Pelodiscus sinensis: one gene and its partner. The protein of the gene in region 2 purifies or fractionates together with the protein of the main gene of each other region. This does not show direct contact. Links are inferred from orthologs where the notes say so. Each region holds a gene or a part of one and is shown on either strand. Other genes may lie near its edges.

What was found. The genes of interacting proteins can lie anywhere in the genome.
Region 1: the proteins of ZMYND8 (region 2) and CSNK2B purify together in Homo sapiens (affinity purification with mass spectrometry; 3 studies listed by BioGRID and IntAct, with this or other methods). This does not show direct contact. The link is inferred for Pelodiscus sinensis from reciprocal best matches to the Homo sapiens genes ZMYND8 and CSNK2B.

What each region holds. Positions count from the first base shown.
Region 1 is NW_027466017.1:275,594-282,985, forward strand, and holds the start of CSNK2B (casein kinase II subunit beta), read right to left. Parts: upstream 3,019-7,392; 5' UTR 2,968-3,018; coding exon 2,898-2,967; intron 1,917-2,897; exon of another isoform or gene 1,781-1,916; intron 739-1,780; coding exon 656-738; intron 467-655; coding exon 364-466; intron 1-363. Other genes in the region: GPANK1 (G patch domain and ankyrin repeat-containing protein 1), read left to right, coding at 4,377-4,951, 5,162-5,624. UniProt on the Homo sapiens protein: Regulatory subunit of casein kinase II/CK2.
Region 2 is NC_134728.1:21,914,267-21,922,199, forward strand, and holds the start of ZMYND8 (MYND-type zinc finger-containing chromatin reader ZMYND8), read left to right. Parts: upstream 1-4,918; 5' UTR 4,919-4,933; coding exon 4,934-4,969; intron 4,970-5,077; exon of another isoform or gene 5,078-5,274; coding exon of another isoform or gene 5,275-5,283; intron 5,284-7,933. Other genes in the region: translocating chain-associated membrane protein 1-like 1, read right to left, coding at 4,525-4,644. UniProt on the Homo sapiens protein: Chromatin reader that recognizes dual histone modifications such as histone H3.1 dimethylated at 'Lys-36' and histone H4 acetylated at 'Lys-16' (H3.1K36me2-H4K16ac) and histone H3 methylated at 'Lys-4' and histone H4 acetylated at 'Lys-14' (H3K4me1-H3K14ac).

The DNA of each region.
Region 1 (7,392 bases), on a different chromosome or scaffold from region 2:
CATGTTTCATCCACACACAACCCTCCTCCACGTGTGTGCAAGAGGCACACATCCCATCCTTCATGCCTGTGCACCACACAAACACCCTGCGACGGACAACTTTGAAATGGACACGCACACCTGTCCCCCACGCTTGGGCAAGACACACCCTGCTGCTCACACAACTGTGCCGCACGCATCCTGGGCCGGCAGTCGTGCGAAGGGGCAGCTGTCTGGCTTCGACATGCCGGCCCATTCAGAGGGGCGGGGAGCGGCAGCAGGGTGGAAGGAGACGAGGACTCACACAAAGCTGGCAGGGGGCTGGTGACGGGTCAGGGGCTCAGACCGAGACCCCTCCTCAGCCCTGGGACCCCCACCTAGTACCTGGCTCCAAGTCGAGGATCATGTCGAGCGCCTGGCGGTAATGGGGGACTTGCTCATTCAGCCCCGTCAGGTTAAACTTGTCCTGGATATAGTCCTCATCCACCTGCGGGGGAGGGAGACGGGCTGAGAACCCAGGTGTCCGGACTCCCAGGCCCTCCTCCCCCCATGCTCCAACCACTAGACCCCACTCTCCTCCCATGGTCAGGACAAGTCCTGGCTCCCAGTTGCTTCCTCTCCCAGAGCCAGGCAGAGAACCCAGGCACTCTGGCTCCAACCACTAGGCACCACTCACCTCACAGAAGAACTCATTTCCACGCAGGCCACAGAACCAGGAAATCCAGGAGACCTCTTCGGAACTGCTCATCTTCCCGTCCTCTGCAGAGGGGGGGGGGGGGGGGCGCGTCAGGCTACCCGTGTGTGCGGTGAACGTGGCTCGGGCTTGGCTGGCAGCCCCACACGCCGCTCCCACTACAGACCGTGCAGCCAGTGCTGTGACGTGTCCCCTCACGTGTCCCCTCAGGAGCAGCCCCCTCAGGAGCAGCCCCCTCAGACAGCGTTCAGATGCGCCCCCTCTGGGGTGGGACACGGGGAGGGAGAGGGGCAGTTCTACAGGGACCCCTCTCTCGGCACTGAGATGCAGCTGGCTCTGGGGTGGGGCATGAAGGGTGAATGGCCCTTCCCCCATTGTATCTTTAACTCGTCCTCCCATGGCACGGGCAGAGATGAGGGATAAATACTCCCCCTTTGCACTGGGGCACAAATGCCCCCACCCTCCTCCCCTCTTTGCACAAGGGCAGACCGCTCATCATTGTGTGGGTCTGGGCCCCCTTGCCCTCCCGCTGCACAGCTCCCTCCTCCCCAGCTTGATACTAAGAAGGCAGATGACCCTGCCACATGCCCCCTTCGCTCTAGTGAGCACATGCCCCCCCCTTTGTGCTAGGGACAGACCCCCCCCACACACACACCCTTTGCACTGGGGACAGAACACACACTCTTACACCCGTTGGATTAGGCCCCCTCCCCTCTTTCCACTAGGATGCAAATCACCTCCGGCCTCTAAGGGCAGGCTCCCCCCCCTTTGCATTAGGGTGAAAATTCCCCCTCTTTGCACTAGGGTGCAAATCCCCCCGCCATGCCTTCCAGTAGGGGCAGCCCCCCCCACCTTTGCACTAGGAGAAGGCCCTCTTCCCTCTTTACACGAGGAGCAAATCCCCCCGCCCCCCACTGCACTAGGGCAGACACCCCGGCCTCCCTTGTGCTACAGCACACCCCCACCCCCACTTTGCACTACGGCAGACTCCCCGCCCCCCCTTTGCACTAGGGTAGAAGCCCCCCCTTGCACTACGGCGCGGCCGGCCCTTTGCACAAGGGCAGTCCACCCCCCGCCCCTCTTCGCACCAGGGCGCAGGACACTCACCCCCGCGCGCTCAGCCCCGCTCGGCAGCAGGCGGTGCCCGGCAGCGAGTGCAAACAAGCGCTGCCAGACGTGCACAGGCCTCGCTTCCGGCCCCCTCCCAGCGCGCGGGGCATGACGGGAGATGGAGTTCGCAGCCACCGCCGCCTCCATAGGAGTCCAGGGACGCGGGGCCAGCGCGGAACTACCGCTCCCACCATGCAAAGCGGGGGCAGCGGGCGCGGGGGGTGATGGGAGGCCGCGATGCACGACGGGAGTTGCAGTTCTCCAGCCGCCCGAACCGCATTGGGACGCATGGGCAGCGGGACCCGACGGTACTACGGGCGTACGGCAGGAGGGGACCCCGCGGAGCCGCAAAGCAGCATGGGAATCGTAGTCCCGGAGTGCCCCTAGGGCCATTAGAACGAACGGGCGGCAGGATGCTCACAGACTACACCCGCCATGACAGACAGAGAAGCGGCTGCGTGCGCAGCCGGGCGCCGCAAGGCCTCCTGGGAGTTGTAGTCCCGCAGCTCCCCGCGCGAACTACAGCCGCCATGTTTGAACGCGATAGGCGGGACGGGAGGAAGCCGGGGGAGGCGCCGCAAGGCCGCTTGGGAGTTGTAGTTCTGTCGCCGCCCGAGCCTCATTGCCGGGATTGGAGGGCGGGGGAGCGGGAAACTACGAAGCCCAGAGGAGGGGCGAGAGGAGGGGCCGCAGAGCATAATGGGAGGAGCGGTCTTCCCCCCCCCGCCGTCTCTTAGGAGCAGACCGGAGCCAGACGCATGGGGGAGGGGCCCGGACACCTGAAAGCCATCAGACATGGGCGTGGCCTGACCCGAAGGGGAGGGGCTTATCCAAAAAGGGGGGTGTCCGCACGCAAATGGGCGTGGCCTGTCCCGATGGGGTGAGACTTCACCCAGAGTAACTGCCATATTAAAGGGCGGGGCCAACACAAAGAGGGCGTGGCTTCCCCTAAACGGGCGTGTCCCTGCAAAATGGGCGTGGTCTAACCCTCGTGAGGGCGTGCCCCTTACTGGGACAGGCGGGATTTCCCGCAGGGGGCGTGGCCTCATCTCCGGGAGTGTCCGGCCCCCACGAAAGGGCGTGGCCTCCCCGCCGGGGGCGTGGCTTCCTTTACCCTCCTTGATGCTGGTGCTGCTCCGCCGGGTGCTGGCTCTGCTGTACTCCATGGCGCCCCGCGTGCTCATCTGCCCCGGCACGTTAATTGGTACCGGCCATGAAGGGTTAATTACGCTGACCTACAGGTTAATTACAAATATGTTAATTAGCCTGTCGCGGGTAGGGCTATTTCTGACGTAATCCGGTTAGGGTGAGGTAAATTAGAAGGTGTGTTAATGAACCGACGTCGGGATGACGTCACGCGCCTGCGAGCCGATCCTACTGTCATTAATTCCTTCCCAAATTAAATCTAATTCTATTGAAATGGGAACAAATCGACGCTAATTGGCTGGGTTCGAGGCAGAAAGGCATGCTGGGTAATATGCAAATGAGATTACCGCGCACCTCACGCTAGAAGCAGGGAAGCGCGCGGGGCAGTGGCCGTTACTAGGCCAGCGAGAGCGCGAGGGCCCTTGCGCATGCGCTGTGCTGGCCTCTAGGTTCGAAGCACGGGGCTGCGCATGCGCCTGTTTTCGGTTTCGCACGCGCGCCCCCTGGCTCGGTTTCACTGGGCTCCCGTGCGCAGGAGCCTGGCTCCTCCCTTCACCGCCTGACGCGTTACGTGACGTCACTCACGCGCCCCGCCTGCTTTTCCCGCGTCTGGAACACGGTGCGCACGCACCTCGGGGGGGGGGGGATGTACTGCGCATGCGCGTCGCGGGTCACTCGTCGCGGCCTAGAGTAACCGGCCGGCGGGAGGCTGCGTTCGAGCCGCTCCCCTCATGCGCGTGCCTAGAACCAGGAACCCCCCTGCCCCCCCCACCGGCGGCCTCGCGCGCATGCGCCTTCCCTTGGCCCCCGGGGGCGGCGCGCGGCTGCTGCGGCCTCCGGCGTCTCTATGGTGAGTGGGGCCGCGACGGCGTCTGGGGGGAGGGGCGGGAGTGTGGCTGGCCCCGCCCCCAGGGCCTAGCCCCGCCCACAGCTCCCCGAGGCGCTCGCCCCGCCCCCTGGCCCTTAGCCCCGCCCCTGGGGCGCTAGCCCCGCCCACAGCGCCCCCAGGGGGCTCGTTCCGGATTCTGGCCCCGCCCCCAGACCCGGGTTCCGCCCTCAAGGAGCTGGCCCCGCCCCCAGACCCGGGCTCCGCCCTCAAGGAGCTGGCCCCGCCCCCTCCCAGCCCCCACTCCCCTCCTGGGCTCTTGGTCTCACCCCCCACCCCCACCCGTCTCGGGACCCGGCTCCACTCCTCAAACCCCCCCCCCGGCTCGTGGCCCCGCCCCCATTTCGCTAGGGCCCCCGCCCGACCCCCCCCCCGGCACCCCACCCCCACGGCCCTGTCTGCGGGTCCCCCAAGGACACTGGTGCCCCCCCCCCCCGGGGAAATCACCGCTCTGCCTCCTACCTTTGCCGGCCTTGTTCCCCTCCCCGCTAGGAAACAGGCTGATCCCGCCCTGTGCACCGGGGCCGCCCAGTGACCCACCTCCATCCCCCCGTCTCCACCATGAACTCCGGCCCCCAGCTCATCTCCTTCACCCGGGCCCGGGAAGAGTCAGACCTCTGGAAGGATGGGCAGCTCCAGATACGGGCCGGGTGCCCTGTCCGACGCCGGGAAGGGGATGCGGATATGGAAGGCGAGGAAGCCCGGAGCTTCTATGAGAGCGTCCTGGCCTCCGGTGACCGCTCGAGTCCCCTACGAAAACGCAAGGCCCCACCGAGACGCCCGAGGGTGCCTGAGACACCCACCACCCAGACAGGGCAGACTGACTCTCGCCGTGGGAACCTGCTGCTGAGATCGGCCCAGGAGGGTGACACAAGGACCCTGCGGCGGCTGCTGGAAAAGGAGGGGTGCGATGTGAACTACAGGGACGGTTATTACTGGACGGCGGTCATGTGTGCCGCTTATGCAGGCCGGGGGGAGGCCGTGAGATACCTGCTGACCCGGGGAGCCGCATGGGTGGGCGTGTGCGAGTCGCAGGGCCGGGATGCGGTGGACCTAGCCGAGGAAGCCGGGCACCAGGATGTAGTGAGGATCCTCCAGGAGCGTGAAACGGCTCAGCCAGAGGGCAGGATGGCCAGGTGAGTCTTCGGTTCTGCTCACCTGACCCAACCCCAATCAGAGCTAGAGCTCTCTAGAGAAGAAAGGTCCCGTCTCCCCTTCCCCATCTGCCTCAACTAGCTAGTTTCCCCAAGTTGGGACCAGATGGGACCAAAAGGGGAAAGGCCCTATGTCCCGTTCCTCATCTCCCTGAGCCAACCAAGTAGTCCCTGACCCTGTTGTCTCCCTAGCAGGAGGACTCCAGCAGAGAGGAAATACTGTGCCGTGTGCAAGATGCATTATAGCGAGGACAGCGTAGAGCTCCACGAACGCTCCACGGCCCACCTCTTCAATCGGCGCGACCCACTGCCTCCCACCCGCTACCACATCCCCGAGAACAACGTCGGCTTCCAGCTCATGGTCAAGGGGGGCTGGGACGCTGAGGCTGGGCTGGGGCCTGAGGGCACTGGTCGTAAATTCCCTGTCCAGACTGTCCTCAAGAGGGACCAGAAGGGCCTGGGCTTCCGTAGCGACCTCCGGCCCAAGGTCACCCATTTCAACGCTAATGACCCCAGCGCTGTGGCTCAGCCCAGGGAGCAGCAGCCTAGGACACAACGGGCAGCTACAGTGGGGAAGAAAGAGGCCCGTCGCAGAGAGGCCAAAGCACAGGCCTGGGAGCGTAATCTGCGCACCTACATGAACCTTGACCTTTGAACTCTGGATTAAGAGCCTCGATGGTTATTCAGCTACTGGGATTGCTTGGATGGTGCATCTACATTCACTTTGACCTTTAACCTTTCACACTCACTGATTCCTATCAATGTTCAGCTGTTTGGATTGCCAGGATGGAATGTCTACATGAACTCTGACCTTTAACCCCCCGAGACAATTAACAACCCTAAAATCATGCAGCCAGTTGGATTATCCAGGTGAGGTGCTTTTTGAGAAATTCAACCTCTGGTATTTCTGATACCTGCGCTGTTAGCCAACAAACCTACAGCCCAGGAAAACTTTTTAGCCAATCAGATCCCTCATGTCTACATGAGTATTGACCCTTAACCTATGATGTCATCTTTGTGGAGTACCATTAACTAATAACGCACAGTCCTTGAAAGTATCCAGACAGTTGATTTCCTTGACATGTTGGATGCAAACCCTTGACAAAACATTGACTATGAACCAGAAGCATCTCAATGGGATCTCTGTGCCGCACCATTAACCACTCAGCCTACAGTTCTTCAAACCATTCGGCCTATTGGAATTCTGGATTGGCTGGTTGATATGACATCATTTTTCTTAAAGGGCCAGTAGCTATCAGGGAAGAGACACATCTCTGCAATCCTCACGGTCTTAGAATGCCAGATCTGCTGACTAGGCCAACATGCACAAGCTCTTGTTCCTGTAATTTAATGGGATGATTCAGGGATGGGAACGTGGCCTGGTTGCTGTTCTCCCTTCTGCTCAGAAAGCAGTGAGATGTGTGAGCAGGAAAAGATGCTGGCCGGGTTTTTTGGTGTCTGGGGATTTTGACTGATTTGGAGGGGAAACAAATCTCAGTTTTTGTTTGGATTCTATTTGATTTGGAATCTTTAAGTGAGAATAAATAGTGGTCCCTCCCTGGTTGTTTTGTGGCTCTAGTGATTGTCCTAAGAGATCTGGATTTCCTAATTGACCGTGTAAACATAGGTAAGATCAGAGTCTAGCCCTGACTCCAAATTTACCTCATAGGAAGTGAGATCAGAACGTGTCCATTGACAACAGTGGTGTCACTCTGAATTCAGTGAATACAGAACCTAGCCCGGGATTGACAACAGTGTGGTGGCTCTGGATTTAGCTCTGAGTCCCTGAGATCAGCTTACAGCTCCATTTTGCAAAGTCAACAAAACAGGCCTTTTATTTGACATCATAGTGTAGCTAATGGAGTTTCATGAGGGATTTCTCCAGGTGAAGGAGAAGCAATTATGGGACCCTTGGGGTAAGTGGCTGGCTGTAGTGTGTGTGTTTGTGTTTGGGGGATACTTCCTGGTTGCCTGAAAGATACTCTGTGCTGAACGTGTGCTTTTCTGTCTCTTTGGATGTCTGTGAGCTGTTTATTTGAAGGACCATGTGCTGAGGCCGGCAGTTGGAAGCTGTATGCTTGTTAAGAAGGCTTTGAAACCTAACACTTTGTCCATTCATCAGGCCTTAACCAGGGGGCAGGGCTATCAGGAAGGCCAGAGCTAGTAAGTGACCAGGGAGCTTAGCTAATGGGAGCAGCTTTCAGGGAGTTTTGTGAGGGCGTTTAGAGGGAGAGTTTGAAGGGGGCTAGCTACACTTGGCATTCTTTAACACTTCTTTCAAACTAAAACCAAAACTACCCGATTGTAATAAAAAAAAACCTATCAAGAATCTAATTACCTACAGGAGAGGTCATAGGCACAAGCCCAGCAGCAAAGTGGGAGCCATCCTGTTCATTGTACCCAATGTAGGATGTATGATTACC
Region 2 (7,933 bases):
AGGCTTAATTTGACCAAATTTGGGTAGATTTTGATGGGGTTAACAAAACATTTGGCACATTTGCCAAACACAACTACTCATTTCTTTCCCCTTTCTGTCTCTGTATCAGAGGCAGCAAGGGGAGGAAAGCAGGAATTGTTGTTGGGGGGAGCCGTCTTAAAAGCAGATTCCCCCTAGCACCGTGTATGCCAGGCACGGGCAATACTTTTTGAAGGGGGCTGGCCATGTCACACATTTCTGAAGTGGTCGCAGGCCACCCTGGAAAAGGTTGGGACTTGGGCAGAAGAGGCATGGCCAGGAAGCTTCCTGTGCTCCTCCCACTCAAAACCCTGATTGGCCTGGGGGCAGAGGGAGCACATGAAGTCTGCCCCATCCCTCCTCCCCCGCCACCACCCAGAGAAAACTGCCAGCTCCCCCATCCCCAGGTCTCAACTGGCCTGGGGAGCGGCAGGGTGGCTGCAGGCCGGATCAGCCAGCTTGGTGGGCCAGATTTGGAGGGCCTGTGAGATCTGAGGGGGAGTTTGAATGAGGCAGTTGTGACCTGCGGCATGGGATTGGAATGCAGGGGTCTGGGTTGTGAGCTAGGGCAGGGGACTGGAATGCAAGAGGAGGTACAGGGGTTTGGGCTGTGACCTAGGGCAGGAGGGAATTGTGATCTGGGGCAGGGGATTGGGGTGCTTGGTTTGGGAAGTGGTATGGGCTCAGAAGGGTGGCAGAGGATTTGGCCTATGTGGAGTACGGGGTGGTAGGAGTGGAGGGGAGGGAAATAGGGCTCGGGAGGAGGGAAGACCTGGGGACTTACCAGTGAGACTCCTGGCCAACAGCCCAGCTTGTTTCTCAGGCATGAGTCTGCCCTGCCCCTGCATAGACTGCAAGGCCATGTGCTCTGTGAATAAGAGCCTGAGTGGAGGGGGGATTAGTGGTTTGCTTGCTGCCTATTTTTCAAACAGCCAACTTCCATTTGCCAGAAACCAGCCAATGGGATTGTACTGAGGGCAGAAGCAGCCATGAAGCACCACTGCCCCCTCCTTTCCAGACTCAGTTTGTGGAACACAAATGGCCCTGCAGCTGCTTTTCTGAGTGGTGTGCGGGGATGAGGCAAGCAGGCGACCCTGAGACTTCCCGCTGCATCCATGGGCTGGATCCAGTGGCGTGGCAGGCCAGATCTGACCCGCGAAGGGTGTTTTTCCTAGGACTTGTCTACATGGTGCAGAGGTGGGGGGCTCACACCAGGTCCTGGACTGCTGCATGTCCATCTTTTAAATGTAGTAGTAAGAGCCTGGTGGCTCTTGCTACATTTAAAAGGCAGAGCTGCAGCAGGCATCGTTCTTGGACCCCACCTCACCTTATCGACTAATTGTGTAATCGATACAAACTGTACTGACTACACAATTAGTCAATTACCCGCTTCTTAACATCCTTACCCTGTGCTACAACAAAAAGAAAAGCAATGCTGGGCAAAGTTCTTTCACACATTGTACCAGAAGGAAAGGGAGGAGAACAAAAAATTGGGTCTACCCATAGATCTGTCACTTATAAAATAAGTTCCATTTTATACGTGGCCTAGACCCCTTTACAAATCTGCCAGTTCTACATGAGGCTGCATTCCACACGTGGCAAGGACACCACCCCCACCCCAAAAATGATAGTCAAAACACTTCAAGATGCAGAAGAGGAAATCTTTGCAGTGCCCTGAAAGAAGAATGGAAATAGAGAGGAGTATGTAGACCCTTCAAAGAATGACCAGCACTTCAATGTTTTAATTTAATTTATAATAAAAGCTTTTTTTTTTTTTTTTTAAGAAGTTGATAGCATATATTTTCTTACTTATCTGGACAAAGTTCTCACTTTTCAGGATGAATGAATTTTTCAAACCACAATGTCATCAACAACTGTTGAGATCTAGCACCATCAAAACAACCAAGTGACCCTGATCTGAACTCTTCTGAACTTTCATTACATTGACAAGCACAGCCCTCTACAAATGGCTGTCCATGATCATCAGGAACTTTAAAGGTTTCTTAATCAACTTTTCCAAAAATTGCATTACAGTCTTAAAAGTTAACTTGCTACACAAGCTCACCTTTGCCTATTTTGCATAATTTGAATTGATTGCAATAGCACTGTGTATATGCATTTTGCATCAGACAGAAGAACGCAACACAAAATATTGTTCTTTGAATGCAGCTGAATATTCCCAGCACAAACTACATTTAGAACTGTACTTGTATGGCTAGGTCAGTTATGGGTGTAATATTTTATAGCTATAGTTAAATGGGTTTAACCTCACTATTTATGAAATTATACTGCCTGACATAAACACTGCTTATTCTCCTTCCTGTACAGCAAGGGTGGCCAACCCAAGGCTTGCGAGCCACATATGGCTCTTCTTCCCCCCCCCCAACCCCGGGTGCAGCTCATGAAGCCTCCCCCTGCCCCCATGGCTCGAAAGCCTCCCCCACGCCCCTAAAAAAAGGCCTCTCCTCCCAGCTTCCTGTGCTGACCTGGGCAGGGGAGCTGTCTGGTGCAGCCATGAAAGCAACAGAAATAAAGATGGCGGCAGGTGGCGGGAGCCTGCTGTGGCCCAAAAGCTTCAAAACGCGTTTCAATGCGGTTTCTTAAAGGGGCAGAGCCTTTTTTTAAAGAGGTGTTTTTTTTTTTTTTTTGCTTGACCAAACATGACCAGGGGCTCGTTTTAAAGGGGCAATCTTTTTTTTTTTCCCCCCTCCTCTACAACTTTGCCCCTTTCAACTCTTTGTGCTGGATCCACTGCTATCTTGGCTCTTTGCCCAGAATGGGCTGGTCACCCATGTTGTACAGGAATAAACTATATTAATATCACACTGAGTGCTAGAGGGGCTGTAAATGTTTGTTTACACACAGGATCGTACTGACTTTGGACAAGCAAGGATTTACAAACAATTTCGCAAACTGTTTGTTTTTAGCATTCTAACTTTTGACCAATTCATCCACTTTAACTCATATTCCAGGGATTCACATGACAAAATATCCTATTAGTCCGCATAGGAGGATCAAAGTTTTTCCACCTTCAGCCTCCTCTTGTAACTAATGATTCTCCACAACTTCACTTTCTATCCCAGCATTCTATCTGCGTCATATAGCCGCTTTAGTTTGTACCACTTCTAATGCAGCACACTACAGCATCACCCAACTTAGCATCTGTCATTTGTTTGGAGGGACATTATTTGATTATCGTGACTCCATTATCCACCCTTTTCCAGCATAATTCACTGAATTCTAAAGGACTAGCATAGCAGTAAAGAACAAACCCTTAAAGATAATACTTCACACTGCGTAATATCTTTCAACCCAGTATTTCAAAGTATTTTCTCATTTTTAAGTATTCTTATTTTAAATCTAGCTCAAGGTGATGAGTGATGTTTGGATTGTTTCAGTAACAACTTTCCCAGACATAAATTGTCTCAGCTTGGAAAACCATGTTTCCAGACAGTCCTGACATCTCCCCTTCCCATCTACCTCCACAAAACCCCAAACAAAAGGCAAACAACCTGCCTTACCTGTTTCATTAGGTTGCCCCATTCTTGAGAGCAGCAGTAAAAATCAAACTAAACAACTTACAGACTAACACAATGAACTCATACAGCATCATGACACAACAATTTTATTCCAGAGAACAAAACCTAAAAAATTCAGCCAAATCAAAGGTGTCATCTTCATTTAATTAGAAAAAGTTAACTTTAAAATACATAAGAGAAGAGGGATTGGGAGACAAGTCTAAGATTGTGTCAATACTAGCATTTTTCTTTAGATCTCCATCACTGACTGACCTGAGTCAGTGAGAGCAAGAATCATCAATAACAGAGGTGGACTGCTGGTACCATTTCAACTGCCATGTCATCCGACCCTGCTCATAACAGGTCAAGCCAATCTGGTGGTTAAAACACCAGTGGCCACCTGGAGCTCTATTTCCAATAACCCACGTTTCCACCACTGCAAAGTTTCCACGAAAAAGTTCAAACCACGCCCGAGAGAAAAGGCAGGTTGGGCTCCAAGAGCATGGATGGGAATGAGGGGCTTGCTGGGAAGGAATACGGGCTACAACTAATGTGAAGGGGCCGACAAGGGAAGCTGTGTGGCAATAGGGATTCAGGAGGGCAGGTCGTGAGCTAGGGGCGTCGGATACAGCGGAAAGGAACGAACGAGCATGAAGGGTCCGGGGATAGACAGCAATGACAAGAGGGCCCGGATAAATAGCATGGGGACCAGCGCACGGGGGAGATGAGAGCGAGGGTGTGTCACAAGGCCAACCCTCGGAGTGAGGCGCTGGGGAGGCAGGAGAAACGGGGCCCAAGCAAGGACAGGTCTGGGGAGAACGGAGCGCGCAGAAGAGGATCGCGACCAGTAGTGAGATGGGTGTGAGACGAGGCTCGGCCGCTGCCCGCAGACCAGCAGCGGTGGCGCAGGTCGGAAATAACGGTATGGCTCGCTTGGGACGGGTGCTCCCCGCTCGGCGGCCGCAGGTAGAGCCCCCAGCCCCCGTACCTCGAACATAAGCCCCAGCAGGAAGCCCATAGCCAGGCAGGACACGGCGTCCGCATGGTTCTGGATCACGAATTCATGGCTCAGCACAGCTGGGCTCTTGTTCTTCCTTCGGAGTCCCATGGTAACCCCCGAGGGCCTAGCAGCCGGCCGGGTCCAGGAAAGAGGTGGTGATTCTTCCTCAACAGCCCCCTCACCTCACGCACAGTAAACACCCCGGCTTTTCGCCGCCCGCCCACAGCTCAGCATCAGCCAGTCTCAATCCAGGAGCACAATGATTGACAGTTGTCCTGGTTAATCGCCGTGCCACTGGGAGGTGTGGCTTTCAGAGAGGGGCGGGGCAAAAGTCGCCGTTTGATTCTCGGAATAGCTCTCGCGGTCCCCAGGAGTGACACCGACTCCAGCTAATGAGATGAGCCAGAGGGTGGGGCATGTGACTCCGCCTGCGGTGGGTGGGCTTTACAGAAGACAACTAATGCAACCCTTTGGAGGGGAGGGCGGAAGCGGGGTTGTCGCGGTTGCTAAGGTTTCCACTCCGTTTTGTGGGTGGAGCTCGGAGCGGTAGCGCGCGCTGCTTGAGGTGCTGCTGCTATTGGCGTGGCGGCGGTAGGCCTCTGCGCGCCGTGCTTCAGTCCTACCAGCCAGTGGCTCTAATGGAGATGACAGGTCCTAGTAGGTCCCGCTCCGTCCTGGTTCCGATGCTGGGGTGCCTCTTCTGGAGCTGACAGACCCATACGAGTGGGAGGCGGCTCTATGGAGAAGGCAGGTTTCAATAGGCACCGCATTGTCGTCGTCGCGGCCGGCTGGCTGTCAGTCGTGTGAACTGAGTGGCTTCGCTCAGGTCCCTGGAAGTGGTGCTTTGTCGTAGCGTGTCAGTCGCAGCATCCAGGACGGAAGGCCAACCGCGTAGCCCAGAAACAAAGAGTTGCAGGCTGGGGTGGAAAGCTCTTGTATCTTTGTAGTGGCTGCGGTGCTGCCCCTCAGACCTGGCTGAAAAATGGAGGGTGCGGGGAGTCTGAATGGAGACTAATTTTCTCACATGGAGGGAGGAACTTTCATTAAGATGCCAGGGGTCTTTATTCCCTCATCTACTCAAAAATTCATTGAAACTTTCAGGAGTTTCCATGGGCAGTACTGTTGGTCAGTAAGGTAGAGGGAACTTTCTGGAATTTCCTATGCTGAAATAAGGGAAATCATTGTTAATGGCCTGAGGAAACAAACAATGGAATTTTGAAAGGGCGTCCTAGAGAATGGCCTGAAATGATGGGTTCTTCATCAGAATCTTGAAAGAATTCAGGTGACAGAAAAATAAAAGGTGTTTGGCCTCATCCTCTAATCCAATGCGTGTAGCTGGAAACTTTGAATCCACGCTGAACTGGAATTGACTACAGTAAACTGTGACTAGTCCTGCAGTACATTAGAGTCTAACAAAAAATGTAGCTGGTATCATGAGCTTTTGTGGGCACAACCCACTTCTTCAGATGTGGCAAGCTCCACCTGCATGGATCAAATTGCAGAAAGGAATTTAAGTGGGGAGTGAAAACTTAGTATTTGTGACAGGAAAAAGCAGTCCTAAAGTTAGTATCACTTTTCACATCATTTATTACTTAGCAAATGTTGCATAAATTCCAATTAATATAAAATAACTTATAAAATAACTCCCTAAAATTACTTTTTACTTGATCTCAGTGATATTCCTAGGAATATTCAATTACTACATTTTTAAATAAATCCAGTTTGGACACGTTCAAGCTGAGAATGTTAAAATGAGTGTATTCAGCTAAATGTGTAACCACTGACATTTTCAATGGTTACACATCTAAAGGGGGGAGGGGAGGCAGCAGGGTGGGGGCTCTGTGTAACCGTTGAGGTTACCTGATGAGCCCATGCTCATCGGTTAACTGACATATTGACACTACCACTTAACCTAGTTCAGGCCCCATTTTTGCTCTCTGTCAAAGTTTCAGGCATATGTAGTGCAGGAAACTGAATTTCATGTTTATATTCACTTCAAAAGTATTTGTATCATTTGTTTGGGAATCAGAAACAGCATGTGTTACTTGACTCATTGTCAAGTACTCTCAGTGAACTTTTTATAAATCATGATCAATTTACAGTGAAAAATATTTGGAACCTTTTGTTCTGATACCAATTCTTGCAATTTAATCACAAGTCTGGTGATATTTAGTGTTTTTCTTTAAGATCCAGCTCCTTTACATTTAAGAATCTCAGGTTTTCTGAAGGTTTTTTTTTAAACTTCTATGATTGAACAAAAAGCTGTGAAAGGTGAACCCCAATGACTCGAAGCTAATAAAAAGGCCTAATATTATTTTAAAAATTATTTTAGTTAAATTTGTGGGGGGCCTAATGTATGACATTTGAGCATTTAGAGTGGGTGTACTAAATATATCTGAGGAAAACCACTCACTGCGTTTCTGCTAATGGAAGACAAGCCTGAACTTATGCAATAAATTATTTATTACAAAATAATAAATATTTTATTATTTATTCAGCTGTACTGAAGACAGTACTGTAACTATTTTAAATGTAGTTTTGTGACGTAATTAATTTTTAGCATCAAAGCAACTAGTAAGTGAGCTTCAAAATAAAGTTGTTTCTGGGTTTGAGCCAGGATGAGGTTGCTAATATTGTCTTGGTATGCAGAATGAACAGTGTCTTTCTGTGAAACTTTAACATGATACAATAGCAATTGGTCATATTCTGCTATGCATGAGTAAGTAGAAAGGATTAATAATGAAATTGTTCTGACCTAGTAAAAAAAAGTCAGTGACATTTTCCCAGGGTAAATTATGGGATGGGATTCTGTATGCTTTTTCAGGCATCGGATATACTTTTCAGTACTTGGCATTTTTATTTGTAAAGTTAATGTAAGATTTACTGGCTGCCTCTGGCATTATCACATACAGTAAAGAATGCATTAGCTGAATTTAACCGACAATTTGCTAGATGATGCTAGAGACAGAATATAATATATATTGTTCTTTGTTAGCTGTATTGGGTCTAAAAAAAAGGAAATGAAACCTGTATTTTTCCTTAATTCATATGCTGATATTTGACAGACAACGGAATCAGATGATTAAGGAAGAGACTTTTTTTTACAAATATATCCCCAGGTGCTTCAACATACTGTGGGGACAATCTGTAAAATGGGAAGATGAACTGATTTCACTGGGTCATCTGCCAGCTCCTCATGGGTCTATACTGGCAGAATTTTTCCATTATTGATGCCTACCTCTTCTGACCATTTCCAGATTTGAATAGTCTTGTATTTATTTAAGTCATGTAAAACTGCAGTGTTATTTCACAAACAATATGTACATAAGAACATAAGAACGGCCGTACTGGGTCAGACCAAAGGTCCTTCTAGCCCTGTCTGCTGACACTGGCCAGC